2 linked regions of the Saccharomyces cerevisiae S288C genome follow. The protein of the gene in region 2 interacts with the protein of the main gene of each other region in a biochemical or structural test. Each region holds a gene or a part of one and is shown on either strand. Other genes may lie near its edges.

Region 1 (5,907 bases), on a different chromosome or scaffold from region 2:
ATTTATTCCGATGCCTTAGCAAAACTAGCCAATGAGGAAAAAGTTCCCTTCGTGGCTTTGAATAAGGCGTTTCAACAGGAAGGTGGTGATGCTTGGCAACAACTGCTAACAGATGGACTGCACTTTTCCGGAAAAGGGTACAAAATTTTTCATGACGAATTATTGAAGGTCATTGAGACATTCTACCCCCAATATCATCCCAAAAACATGCAGTACAAACTGAAAGATTGGAGAGATGTGCTAGATGATGGATCTAACATAATGTCTTGAATGCAGTAATCCTTTGTACGTACTCTGTCTATATTTCCCTAACTTTTAAGCAACTGTATAATTTTTCATATACGGGATTTTCAGGAAAAAAAACAATAGAAATCTATAAAACATGTTTCCTTATTTTTACAGACGAGAGTTTTATTCTTGTGAAAACGTCGTTATCTTCTCCTCCAAACCAATTCAAGGAATAAAGATATCACGTATACGGGAGAGATACATAGAAATTATGTTATCCCGTGTTTCAGTTTTCAAACCTGCCAGCAGAGGCTTTTCCGTCTTATCATCTTTAAAGATAACAGAACATACATCAGCAAAACACACCGAAAAACCTGAGCATGCTCCCAAGTGTCAGAATTTATCAGATGCTCAGGCTGCATTTTTGGACCGTGTTATTCGTGTAGATCAAGCTGGCGAATTAGGTGCAGACTACATCTACGCTGGCCAGTACTTCGTGTTGGCTCATAGGTACCCTCACTTGAAACCTGTGCTAAAGCACATATGGGACCAGGAGATACATCATCATAATACTTTTAACAATTTGCAATTGAAAAGGAGAGTCAGGCCTTCCTTATTAACGCCTTTGTGGAAGGCAGGAGCCTTTGCAATGGGGGCTGGTACCGCATTGATTTCTCCAGAAGCAGCTATGGCTTGTACTGAAGCTGTCGAGACAGTAATCGGAGGGCACTACAATGGCCAATTGCGAAACTTGGCCAATCAATTCAATTTAGAAAGAACAGATGGAACAAAGGGTCCAAGTGAGGAAATCAAATCCTTAACTTCTACTATCCAACAGTTCAGGGATGACGAGCTAGAGCATCTAGACACCGCTATCAAGCATGATTCGTATATGGCAGTTCCATATACAGTTATCACTGAAGGTATTAAAACGATTTGCAGAGTAGCTATATGGAGTGCCGAAAGAATTTAACCACCAGAAAGTGGCATACATCAGTCGCGTTATGCCAGAAAAGGAGAATTGAAAGGAAAACGGTTTGATAAATGTCCTAATTAAACTATCATGTATAAAATTATGTATCATCCTTACGCATTTTAACGCTATATGACCAATATGACAGGAATAGATACACTGTCTATAATTATGTAAATGGGGTATGGGTTCATAGTCTAAGGGTGAGTACAAACTGGATCTTTAACAAGAGTAACAGTTAATTAGAGCAAAACTATAGTACATATAGCTTGAAAAAAACAAGCGGCTTGCCATTGGAAGAACATTGCATAAAAACGGGGCCACTGCTAATAATAAAGTGGTAATTAAAAAGAAAGCTTTTGTTCAAGGTTAAGAAGGTATAAGGAAATGCCGAACGAAGATAATGAACTTCAAAAAGCAATTGAGAACCATCATAATCAACTACTAAACCAGGATAAAGAAAATGCTGACAGAAATGGGTCTGTTATAGAAGACCTCCCATTATACGGGACAAGTATAAACCAGCAGTCTACCCCTGGAGATGTTGACGATGGAAAACACTTACTGTATCCAGATATTGCCACCAACCTACCACTGAAGACTTCTGACAGACTTTTGGACGATATACTTTGCGATACTATTTTTCTCAATTCTACAGACCCGAAGGTCATGCAAAAGGGCCTGCAATCGAGGGGTATTTTAAAAGAGTCTATGCTTTCTTACTCAACTTTCAGAAGTAGTATTCGCCCTAACTGCTTGGGTTCATTAACTGATCAAGTGGTTTTTCAAACAAAATCCGAGTATGATTCCATTTCATGCCCAAAATATAATAAAATACATGTATTTCAGGCGGTCATCTTTAATCCATCACTGGCAGAACAGCAAATTTCAACTTTTGATGATATTGTTAAAATTCCTATTTATCATCTTAAGGTTAGCGTAAAAGTCCGCCAAGAACTGGAGCGGTTGAAGAAGCATGTCGGTGTTACTCAATTCCACTCACTAGATCATTTGCACGAATACGATCGAGTAGACCTTTCGACTTTTGATTCTTCCGATCCTAATTTGTTGGATTACGGTATTTACGTTTCTGATGATACTAACAAACTGATCTTGATTGAAATTTTTAAACCCGAGTTTAATTCACCTGAAGAGCATGAGAGTTTTACTGCCGACGCAATTAAGAAGAGATACAATGCTATGTGTGTAAAAAATGAATCACTAGATAAAAGCGAGACGCCATCTCAAGTTGACTGTTTTTACACACTTTTTAAAATTTTTAAAGGGCCTTTGACGAGGAAAAGTAAAGCGGAACCTACAAAGACAATTGATTCTGGAAATTTGGCCCTTAACACTCACCTGAATCCTGAATGGTTAACGTCCAAGTATGGATTTCAAGCAAGCTCAGAAATCGATGAGGAAACTAATGAGATATTTACTGAATACGTCCCTCCAGATATGGTGGACTATGTAAACGATTTGGAGACAAGAAAAATTCGAGAATCGTTTGTGAGGAAGTGTTTACAACTGATATTTTGGGGTCAACTATCTACCTCATTACTGGCACCTAATTCTCCCTTGAAAAATACGAAAAGCGTAAAGGGAATGTCTTCATTACAAACTTCTTTCTCAACACTACCTTGGTTCCATTTATTGGGAGAATCCAGAGCAAGGATTCTATTAAATTCCAATGAGCAAACTCATTCGCCTTTGGACGCAGAACCTCATTTTATTAATCTTTCCGTTTCGCATTATTATACCGATAGAGATATAATCAGAAACTACGAATCTTTGTCTTCTTTGGATCCTGAAAATATTGGGCTGTATTTTGACGCACTGACATACATTGCAAATAGGAAGGGGGCATATCAATTGATTGCTTACTGTGGAAAACAGGACATTATAGGCCAAGAAGCTCTAGAAAATGCTTTGTTAATGTTTAAAATTAACCCTAAAGAGTGTAACATCTCCGAATTAAATGAGGCGACTTTGCTATCTATTTACAAATATGAAACATCAAATAAGAGCCAAGTAACCTCTAATCACCTAACAAATTTGAAAAATGCTCTAAGATTGTTGGCCAAATATACCAAATCTGACAAACTAAAATTTTACGTCGATCATGAGCCCTACAGAGCTTTATCCCAGGCATACGACACACTTTCAATTGACGAGTCTGTTGATGAAGACATTATAAAAACTGCATATTCGGTCAAGATTAACGACTCTCCCGGATTAAAGTTGGATTGTGATAGAGCACTTTACACCATTGCTATCAGTAAAAGAAGCCTTGATTTGTTCAATTTTTTAACAGAGGAATGCCCACAGTTTTCCAACTATTATGGTCCAGAGAAGCTTGATTACCAAGAGGCATTGAAGCTTCTTCAAGTGAATGAAAATGCCTCTGACGAAACCATTTTGAAAATCTTTAAACAAAAGTGGTTTGATGAAAACGTTTATGAGCCTGACCAATTTCTTATTTTGAGGGCAGCATTGACCAAAATCAGTATAGAAAGAAATTCAACTTTAATCACCAACTTCTTACTAACTGGTACGATAGATCCAAATTCCTTGCCGCCAGAAAATTGGCCAACTGGCATTAATAATATCGGGAACACCTGTTACCTAAATTCTTTATTACAATATTACTTTTCCATTGCGCCACTAAGAAGATATGTATTGGAATATCAAAAAACGGTAGAAAATTTCAATGACCACCTCTCTAATAGTGGGCATATTAGAAGAATTGGTGGAAGAGAAATTAGTAGAGGCGAAGTGGAAAGATCTATTCAATTCATATACCAACTTCGCAACCTTTTCTATGCGATGGTTCATACAAGAGAAAGATGTGTAACACCCTCAAAAGAGCTAGCATATTTGGCATTTGCTCCAAGTAATGTTGAAGTAGAATTTGAAGTGGAAGGCAATAAAGTAGTTGATCAAACAGGAGTTCTTTCGGATTCAAAGAAGGAAACAACGGATGACGCATTTACTACAAAAATAAAGGATACAAGCCTGATTGATTTAGAAATGGAAGATGGCCTTAATGGCGATGTTGGTACAGATGCGAACAGAAAAAAAAATGAATCGAATGATGCTGAAGTAAGTGAGAACGAAGATACAACAGGATTAACTTCACCTACGCGTGTGGCAAAAATCAGTTCTGATCAATTAGAAAATGCTTTGGAAATGGGTAGGCAACAAGATGTTACTGAATGCATAGGAAACGTGTTATTTCAGATAGAAAGCGGTTCAGAGCCTATCCGATATGATGAAGACAACGAGCAATATGACTTGGTTAAGCAACTATTTTATGGTACTACTAAACAAAGTATTGTTCCTTTGTCCGCAACAAATAAAGTCCGTACGAAAGTTGAAAGATTCCTATCGTTACTGATAAATATTGGCGATCATCCTAAAGATATTTATGATGCGTTTGATTCTTATTTTAAAGACGAATATCTGACAATGGAAGAGTATGGTGATGTTATACGTACCGTTGCTGTTACAACTTTTCCTACTATTTTGCAGGTACAAATCCAAAGAGTTTATTACGATCGTGAAAGATTAATGCCGTTTAAATCCATTGAGCCCTTACCATTCAAAGAAGTTATTTACATGGACAGATACGCGGATACAGAGAACCCTTTATTGTTGGCAAAAAAGAAAGAAACAGAAGAAATGAAGCAAAAGTTGAAGGTAATGAAAAATAGACAAAGAGAGCTTTTGAGTCGTGATGATTCAGGGCTTACAAGGAAGGATGCATTTTTGGAGAGTATCAAGCTATTGGAATCGGATACCATAAAGAAAACTCCTTTAAAAATTGAGGCTGCTAATGATGTGATAAAGACGCTGAGAAACAACGTTCAAAATATCGATAATGAATTGATGAAATTATACAATGATATCAACAGTTTGGAAGAGAAAATAAGCCATCAATTTGACGATTTCAAGGAATATGGTTACTCACTGTTTTCGGTTTTTATTCATCGCGGCGAGGCCAGTTATGGTCACTATTGGATATATATCAAGGACAGAAATCGCAATGGAATTTGGAGGAAGTACAATGATGAAACCATCAGTGAGGTCCAGGAAGAGGAGGTCTTCAATTTCAATGAGGGTAACACTGCAACTCCATATTTCCTAGTATATGTCAAACAAGGACAAGAAGGTGATATTGAGCCATTGAAAAGAATTCTAAAGTAGTCTTAGTCAATGAAGAGTTTATGTAAAATGTCACTATTGCCATAAGTACCATTATTATGTAAAAAGCTTTGCCATATTCAATCGTTACGGGTGACTATCTGCTACGTAAAGAAAAACGAAAAAACAAAAAAAAAAAGAACAAGCTCATAGAAGTGAATACGAAAGCTGAAGAAAGTCGTTAAGTAGATAGGTTGCGTAAACTAGGTGCGTCCAATCAAAGTAATCCAATTAGATATACTGGACTATAATTAAGATGTCATCTGAAAGCCCACAGGATCAACCACAGAAGGAGCAAATCAGCAATAACGTCGGCGTTACCACCAATAGTACAAGCAATGAGGAAACAAGCCGCTCTCAAGATGATAATGTCAAGGAAGTCAATGGAAATGATGATACTAAAGAAGAGGAACAAGAAGAAGACGCAGAACTAGATGATTTATTTGGAGATGACAATGATGACGATGATGATGATGATGTTAAAAAATCGGAGACTGAAAAAA
Region 2 (9,226 bases):
TGCCTTGCCTCAAACTGGTGGCGCTAGAATGATCTATCAAAAGATCGTAGCCCCATTGACCGACAGATATATCCTAAGAGATGTTAGCAAGACAGAAAAGGATGAAATTAGAGCTTCCGTCAATGAGGCTTCTAAGGCTACAGGTGCTTCTGTTCATTAAGAGGCAACTCACCTATATCCTCAAATCAAACTCTCGTTTTTGTTCTCTTTGTTATCTATTCTATTGAGAGCATATAAGTACATATGTTATTAGTTGTTATATATCGCTACTTAACATATAAAATATTTTGGAGTCGTTTATGGTGTCCCAGAAGATAGCATTTCTATTCATCGTGTTGTGTCGTGACGTGTCTCTTGATATGCGCGACAGACCATCCAACGCAAGGTCATTAATCATGTTATGTTCTGTAATTTTAAAGGCATTTTTTATAGAGTTTCATCGAATTTGTGATCGAACTGTTCATTGGTGATAGATGAAGAGCCATTTAAATGAAAATCCAACTTAACTCTTAACTTCAGTTTCCCAGATCCAGAAATTTTCAATGACTGCTTGCAAATTTGGCTGGCGTTTATTGTGGAAGATGGATATAACTGGCCTAGTGTTAGCTTTTGAGCTTTAGGAACGGCACAGAAAGTTTTTAAGTCAGATATTAAAGACTTTGCCTGAAAATATAAATCCAAATGTGCTAATCCAGAGTTTGCAGAGAGCAAGGAAGCATATACATTCAGTGAGGAACTGTCATATATCTTGTTGGCATCCAATGGTAAGGTGACACCTGAGTTTGCCTCCACTGCCGACGAATGATTGATTGATTCTTCCTTGTTCGCATTTTTGGGCACCTGAGCAATGTCATTCTTCTCTCCAAAAATCTCTTCTAATATGTCAATTGGTTTCACATTGTCACCAGTAGAAGCCTTGCTTTCAGCCTTGCTATCCTCACCCAATAAATCTGACAGCAGATCAACTGGTTCGTTGGAGATAAGGTTTTTCGATAGAGCTTTTCCATTATCCTGTTCCTCGGTAATTTTTTCAAATTTAGGCATTGTTTCTAAAATGATCTTCTTCACAGAAATTGACTGATTGAAAAATATCTCGTATTGATTGCTTTTCATTTGCAGTGATAAATCAGTGGAATCCGTGTAGCTCAATATCAGTTGTCTTAGTTTTTCAATATTTTTCGCGTCATGGAACCTCACAGATAATTTTAATGCTGCTGTTAAAATGTAATTGATTATCTTCAGATTCGTTGCTGTGTAGAGTTCTTGCAAAGTTAGTAAGTAATCAGTAATAGATGACTCATTGATTATGTCTGCACCATTTTTATTGCCCTCGTTGAGTACTAAATCGCCATATTCGCCAATGCACCAAATCAAAACCAACTGCCAACCAATATTTTCCTCGGAAATCTCCGCTGATGTTCCATTTAGTGAAATTGTCAGCATTTTCCGTAAAAATTCAGATTTGTCGGATAACTGGCTCGTATTATTTATTATGATTAGAATATCATTAATTTTTTCATAGTTGATAAACGATCCCACTAATTTTAAGATATTAAAGAAAACATCTAATTTCCAGCTTTCATCTTTGACAACGCGGGTATCAAAAGTGTCAATTAAGTGATCTATAGTGTATATTATGAGATCTTTTGAATCTTCATCCTGTTTTGCCAAAAATTTCATCAATTCGTTAACCAATTCCACTAAATTTGAATCGTCCAAGATGGCGAAGCTCAACTCTAACGCTCTCATGCGGATCGACACATCGGTATCCTGCAGACAATGAGAAATGAATTTTCTATGCCTTTGTACTGCGGTAGGCTCTTGGGGAACAACTTTTAATAAGGTGTTTAATGAAACGTATTTAGTATTATTATCTTTTCCTGCAAGAAACTTGGCCAAGATGTTAATACCAAGGACACGTAGAGGCTGGTTCAAATCCAACGAAAAGATCGTCTTCACGGTCTCATAAAGAATGGCCTGTCCGCTGTTTTTCGTTGAATCCGTATTCGTCGCAATACGAGTCAATAAATCGCAGAAATTATCTTTGTAGTCCAAAACATTGTTCGAATTTAAGAGCTCACCAACTTGAAAGTATAGTTTTAAAGTGTAAATTATTTCACACTGCAGAAATGGGTCACAAATACCTTGGACATCATATCCAGGTTCAATATTTTTAGAATTCATATTTTCCAAACGAATGAAAAAATCACGCAAAAGTAAAGATAATGGAGACAAGATGTCATTGCTGTAATCAATACCGTCTTCATCTTCATCCTCATCTTTTTTTCTGTTCAATCCAATTAACAAAATAGATTGTATGATTTTCGTAACGCCTAAAAGTACACCGTGAGTACATATTGAATGACTAGACAATATCTTAGTAATGTCTTCGATGTTGAAGATTTCTAAAAGTGAAACGTCTTTGAAAATTAGTTTGGCAGCACATTGAAGCGCTTTTTTCAAGAGGAAAGGGTCTCTTGAATTTTTGATGATATTTTCGACGTCTGGGTATAAATCTCTGGCTAATTCAGGGGAGCTCAAAAAGCCTAATGAGGTTAGTGCAAGTGACACTGCATATTTGTTGGGATGATGCAAATCGTTGTTCAACATGTTCGTTAAGAGTGTCAATAAATCTTCAGATTCGTCCAACAATAAAGTTGCGGCCAGATAGCCTAATCTTTTATCGACAAAATCGTCAGAAGCAATTAAATTGATAGACTCCACCTGACCGAAATGTGTCTTTTCCCCTAGAATGTATAGATACAGAAGTTTCTGGATATTTACTCGCCTTTTTTCATGTGGTAGATGGTCATCTCTCAATTTTGTCCTAATTTTAGCAGATTGTTTCGTTATAATTGCCCTTTCATCTGCCAGTGTTTTGGCACCACGAACGTCTTTGATAAAGCTTCTCAACGAAGAGCCCATTATGGTGTTCAGGTCTTTCTCGTTGCTAAATCAAGATGGTCAATATTTCTTCTCCAATATTAGCAGTATAAAATCTCGAAAAAGTATGATTTAGTTGTAATTCTCATATGGCCAAGCCCACTAAATTCAGTGAATACAAACAGCTAAGGACGTCAAAACTCAGAGTCGGGTAATCTTCATTTGAATTTTTTTTCTCTTAAGGTAGATAACACCAAAGAAAAGCAATCAGTAGCAAAATATGGACTTTAACGCTGTCAGTTCCAATTGAGAAATATCGTAAAGAAAGTTAGTTGTTTTCACTCGCAACCTCTCTACCTTCGTGGCCTAAAATAGATTTAAATAATCGAATAAACGGTTTGTTCTTATATGTGATACCCTCTTTCACCACCTTCCTGTAGCCCCAGTTGGTATTACTTGTCCCAACCTCATTCCTCTTTCCATTATCAATTAATCGGTTTGTGTTGTTCGTAGCAGGACCACACTTCCGGAATTATATACATTTACATGTATATAGAGAAGAAAGCTTCGGCGGCTAAAGAATAGAACCATCTATTACCCGCTCGCCCGGTCGTTTGGATGCGTGGGTGGTATAGTTTCTTTTTTTTCATTTTAAGGGATACCGCTCCCCACGTACCCCACGACCAGCCCTAGTGGAATAAGAAATGCAAAATCCGGGGTTGGCGCAGCGATTCTGCACGGCCAAACCCTGGGCTTCTTTATTTTGTAGATCTGCCAAATGATGGCTATGCCTTACTCGGTATCACATGGAAAAGACCCCCGGCTTATTGAATCCCGTCTCCCGTTCCCTGCATAGTTGTCACGGTTTGGACTATATATATCGTCGTTTCTCTGTTTTATTTATTATGATGGCTCTCCAAGGGTAATCAGTCAGACTAGTAAGCAAAGTCAATCATGCAATCTACTGTCCCAATAGCAATTGCGAGCAACGGCAACAAGAGAGATGTCGTCCAGAACGTTTCTGCAGGCGACGAGGGTGATATATTGCAAAGGCTAGCCCGTAACAGAGAGATGATTTCTACCTCCCTCTCGCCACAAAAATCGTCAGGATTTAGTGGTAGAAGGAGGTCATCTAGTGTTAGGGACGCCCTTTCTTCTTTTTTTGGAACTGGTAATAGTCCAACATCTAGTATGGACGATTATTCCAATTTGATGAACCGTAACTATTCTACCGCATCAACTGCCATGTGTAGGGGGAACAGTTTTCCTTCAGATGTTGGCACTAAGGCTTACAATATTACGGGATCTTACCAACCGGATAGGCACAGGAATTCTGTTCCGTATACCACCATAGACCAGTTACACACAAGGCAAGACACCGGGTTGAGGAGAGAGTCAGATCCAGTCGCGGCAAAACAAATATCTAGTAATAATGATATTGTTAGGTCATTCATAACACATCATGCTAGTAATAGCACTATGTTTATTAATAGGGTGCTATCGGACTATTTAGCGGATCGTGGTTTCATCAAGCAAACACCGTTATATAATAAGAAAAGTGTGCTGGAAATTTCCATTGCAACAAGTGCAGAATCAGTTTTCTTGCCAACTACAAAAAGTGATGAAACAGAGTATCTATCACTGATTCATGGTTCTTTAAATCAGGCGCGAACACAGCCTGTCGGGTCCACTAACACTGCAGAAAGTGATTTCCTCCCTTCATGTCCTACGATGGACACTTTGAATGAAAACAATGATTTATCACTATTTCCGTTACATACACAGCGAACCAGCCCCTCTAATACAGCAAGGACAGGTAATGCTATGGATACAAGCAATTCTGATCGTGCTTCTCCGGCCTCGAACAATAACACAACAGATGCGGATTCCTTTGTTGCGAGTGGCAATAACAACCCTATGAATAATAACAATTCTCCCGCGAGAAACAGACATCCTAATTCTCACTCGCGTTCTCTTCCTAATGCTTGGAATAGCCAAATGCCTTCATTCAGCTTTGCATTGATATTTTCCCTGAATAAATCAACTACCCTTTCTGATATTAAAGTAGAACTCACTTCTAACGTGAGAGTGGTGTGGTTCAATGGTCTTCCCCCTACCAAGAATGTTAACGAGGAATGCTATAATATAGGTTCTTTGGACTGGACCTTAAATGCAGACAACTTTAATCTTTTCATTCCGCAAGGCGCAAAGTCTCCTCTTGATATCGTTGAAAATCATTCCAATAACAGGAAATTGAAAGTGCTCCAGAAATTATCGATGAGGAAACGCCGTTCTTTCTCGAATAAAGCAGTTCTTAGGGAAAATATATTAAACAATTTAAATGCCTCGAATTCTACGAACAAGTTAAATGCTGGTGTTTATGTCTTTACTATCCCCATAGTGCTTGCCAGTCGTATTCCTGAATCGCTTTACTACCCATCAGCGAGGGTATCCTACAGCTTAAGATTAGCGACAAAATTGAAGGATGAACATACACAGTTGGTTGCATCACGGCCACGTTCTTCTTCTATCTCTTCTCCTCAAAAACTGCGTTCATATTCCTGTTCTGATTCTTATGAATATTCTCAAATTGATGACACCATAGAAGGAGAAACCTACAATAACGACAAAAATTCTACTGGAAAAATCGCATTTCCCTCCTCATGGTTAAAAAGTGCGAAGGGGCGCTTAAAAAGGAATAATTCTAACGGAAGGTCAGATAATAATGGCGCATCTTCTAGTGGTTTAGCGATGCAACATGATTCTGAAGACACTATAAATTTACAGTACCCGCTTAATTTGGTGAGAACTCCGCCAGAAATCTCTGTCACTACAGCAAATAAGCCACTTTACATTAACAAGGTTTGGGAGAATTGTCTTTCTTATGAAATTTCATTCGCCCAAAAGTATGTGCCCTTGAATGGTGAAATTCCAATCACAATTAAAGTGGCACCTCTAGTAAAAAGTCTTAGTGTCAAGAGAATTCGTGTTAGTTGTAGAGAAAAAATCTCCTACAGGAGTAAAGACTATCAATATGATTTTGACCAGTTGGATCCATTGGCTTCAGATCCTTGCAATCCCTATCATATGAGATATTTAGTGAGAAAAAAGAAGGACAGAAGCTTGCCTCTATTTGAGGTGGCCTCTAAATGTACTAGTGGGCCTTCTATTAGAGAGGAAGTTGTCACCAATACAGTTGATGATAACTTATTAGCCTACACTTCATCAAAAGAAAACAACAAAGATATCCCATTTTCTGAGTCCTTTACTGTTAAAACGAAGTTAAAATTTCCAAAATATTGTGAAGTGGACGCTACCAAAGCTGCAAGTCTACCACCATATGGTATCGATCTTTTCGACCCAATAAAAGATCCAACTCAGAGTGAGAACACCTCTAATAACGGCAATGTATTGGGCTTTCTAGTGGGTCGCCCTAACAGGGCTTCCAAGACAGTTCATAAAATACCGCAAGACAAGAATCATAATGAGGTCAATGATACAAATGGAAACTCGAATACATCTTTGCAAACTAGCTCGAATGTTCCCATTCAGCACTACACACGGTTGAATAAACCAAGACGCGGTTTATATTTGGACAGTATGCATTTTAAGAATATCCAATGTTCTCATAAATTAGAAATCGTCTTGAGGGTTAGCAAAACTGATAGTGGTAGCTCAAAAATCATAAGGCATTATGAAGTAATTGTTGATACACCAATTTATTTGATTTCTGACCTTTGTAACACTTCAAATATAGACTTACCGACTTATGACATGGCCACCACTGAATCTTCTAAAGTCCTGCCACCAACTTTTGAAGAGGCAACATCAGTTTCAGCATCACCAAGATCTTCTGTATCTTATTATCCCGATGACATTTCCATGCAACAGTTGAATTTGTCTAGGTCGACTTCCCTCGCAAATGGTTACCTGTCAACCTTACATCCAAAAACAACCGCTGTTTCGGACTCGTCTAACGGTGCCCCAATCCGGGACCAGCAAGAGCAACAAGCACGCCCCTTGAGGACTGAAGATTATGCGCTACAAATGGGGAATGAAAATAACGCCTATAGCAATATGGACGGTTTGCTTTCGCAGGATATCTTTGAACAGGAGACCGCGGCCACGCTATTTAAAAGAGACATTGTCACAATGAACTTTAACAATAATATATTCACACCACGGTATAGTCCGCGCACTTTTACCAATACCGACTACAATTATAATGATAATGATAATAATGATAATGATACAGAGGGGCCTGGTCCAATAATTCATCCGGGTCCTGAACCACCAAGATATGACGAGATTTCATCATAAATATTAATATCTTCACTTTTTTTATAAACCTCACACACACATATATATATACATTTGTACAAATATGTACCTGTCCGAACTAACTTTTTTTTTCGTGTAATATACGTAGAATATATGTCTTTCGGCTCATCGCAAATTGTAGCACCGAAAAAAATGGAAGACGATAATAATAAACAAGTTTGAAAGTTTGAAAGCCGTGCAGTTTTTCAACGTATTAGGTTTTTTTATTCAAATAACTTTGACAAGGGCGTTGTACGACTTAGCACCTAATGAATAGGGGATCATTAGATGATGGGCCTAAACTACGTGAAGAAAAGCACTTCCAAGATTTTTATCCTGATCTTAATGCCGATACTTTACTGCCGTTCATCGTTCCCTTAGTGGAAACAAAGGATAACAGCACCGATACTGACTCAGATGATATTTCAAATCGGAATAACAGAGAGATCGGGAGTGTCAAAAGCGTACAAACTAAAGAATTGATTTTCAAGGGGAGAGTCACCACTGAACCACTAGTACTGAAGAAGAACGAAGTGGAATTTCAAAAATGTAAAATAACTACGAATGAGTTAAAAGGTAAGAAAAATCCATACTGCGTTAGATTTAATGAGAGCTTTATATCCAGGTACTATCATATAAACAAAGTAAGAAATAGGAAGAGTTATAAACAACAACAAAAAGAATTCGATGGTGTGGAGGCACCCTACTTCACCAAATTCTCTAGTAAAGAAGCCCCGAATATTACTATTTCGACGAGTACAAAGAGTGCAATTCAGAAATTCGCTAGTATTTCACCCAATCTTGTTAATTTCAAGCCTCAGTATGACATGGATGAACAGGATGAATTATATTTGCACTACCTTAATAAGAGGTATTTTAAAGATCAAATGTCTCACGAAATATTTGAAATTTTAATGACTACACTAGAAACTGAATGGTTCCATATTGAAAAACATATACCCTCAACGAATAGTCTGATTGCTAGGCATAATATTCTAAGGGACTGTAAGAATTATGAGCTATATGGTTCTGATGATGGAACAGGTTTATCGATGGACCAGGCGTGTGCAGTTTGTTTAGGCACAGACAGTGACAATCTGAATACAATTGTCTTTTGTGATGGATGCGATATTGCTGTGCATCAAGAATGTTACGGTATAATTTTTATCCCGGAAGGAAAATGGTTATGTAGACGATGTATGATCTCAAAAAATAACTTTGCCACTTGTCTAATGTGTCCAAGTCATACAGGTGCATTCAAACAAACAGACACCGGTTCTTGGGTACATAACATTTGTGCTCTATGGCTTCCAGAGCTATACTTTTCAAACTTACATTATATGGAACCTATAGAAGGCGTTCAAAATGTTAGCGTATCACGATGGAAACTTAACTGCTACATCTGTAAAAAGAAGATGGGTGCTTGCATTCAGTGCTTTCAAAGAAACTGTTTTACAGCATATCATGTCACGTGTGCCCGTCGAGCTGGTCTCTACATGAGTAAAGGGAAATGCACTATTCAAGAATTGGCCTCTAATCAATTCTCCCAAAAGTATTCAGTCGAAAGTTTCTGCCACAAGCATGCACCTAGAGGATGGCAAACGAGTATAGAAGGTATTAATAAAGCTAGAAAATACTTCTCTCTACTCTCTACATTACAAACCGAAACTCCTCAGCATAATGAAGCTAATGATAGGACAAATTCAAAATTCAACAAAACAATTTGGAAAACACCTAATCAAACGCCGGTAGCACCACATGTTTTTGCTGAAATATTGCAAAAGGTCGTTGATTTTTTTGGCTTAGCTAACCCACCAGCAGGCGCATTTGATATTTGCAAATATTGGTCAATGAAAAGGGAGCTTACAGGAGGTACCCCATTAACTGCCTGTTTTGAAAATAATTCATTGGGGTCCTTAACCGAGGAACAAGTGCAAACAAGAATAGATTTTGCCAATGATCAGCTCGAAGACTTGTACCGGCTCAAAGAGCTGACTACTTTGGTGAAAAAGAGAACACAAGC

Evidence for each region. Proteins that work in one complex are often made in the same cells at the same time.
Region 1: of the proteins of CSR2 (region 2) and UBP2, one has a biochemical effect on the other in vitro, tested with the Saccharomyces cerevisiae proteins (one study listed by BioGRID).

The regions. Positions count from the first base shown.
Region 1 is NC_001147.6:554,324-560,230, reverse strand, and holds UBP2 (ubiquitin-specific protease UBP2), read left to right. Parts: upstream 1-1,588; coding exon 1,589-5,407; downstream 5,408-5,907. Other genes in the region: IAH1 (isoamyl acetate-hydrolyzing esterase), read left to right, coding at 1-270; putative monooxygenase CAT5, read left to right, coding at 500-1,201; Paf1-complex subunit LEO1, read left to right, coding at 5,661-5,907. UniProt on the Saccharomyces cerevisiae protein: Has an ATP-independent isopeptidase activity, cleaving at the C-terminus of the ubiquitin moiety in natural or engineered linear fusion proteins, irrespective of their size or the presence of an N-terminal extension to ubiquitin.
Region 2 is NC_001148.4:624,043-633,268, forward strand, and holds CSR2 (Csr2p), read left to right. Parts: upstream 1-3,837; coding exon 3,838-7,203; downstream 7,204-9,226. Other genes in the region: YOP1 (Yop1p), read left to right, coding at 1-160; APL4 (AP-1 complex subunit gamma), read right to left, coding at 427-2,925; NTO1 (Nto1p), read left to right, coding at 7,473-9,226. UniProt on the Saccharomyces cerevisiae protein: Transcription factor involved in the regulation of fermentation and aerobic oxidation. Acts as a repressor of CYC1, which is involved in electron flow through the mitochondria under aerobic condition.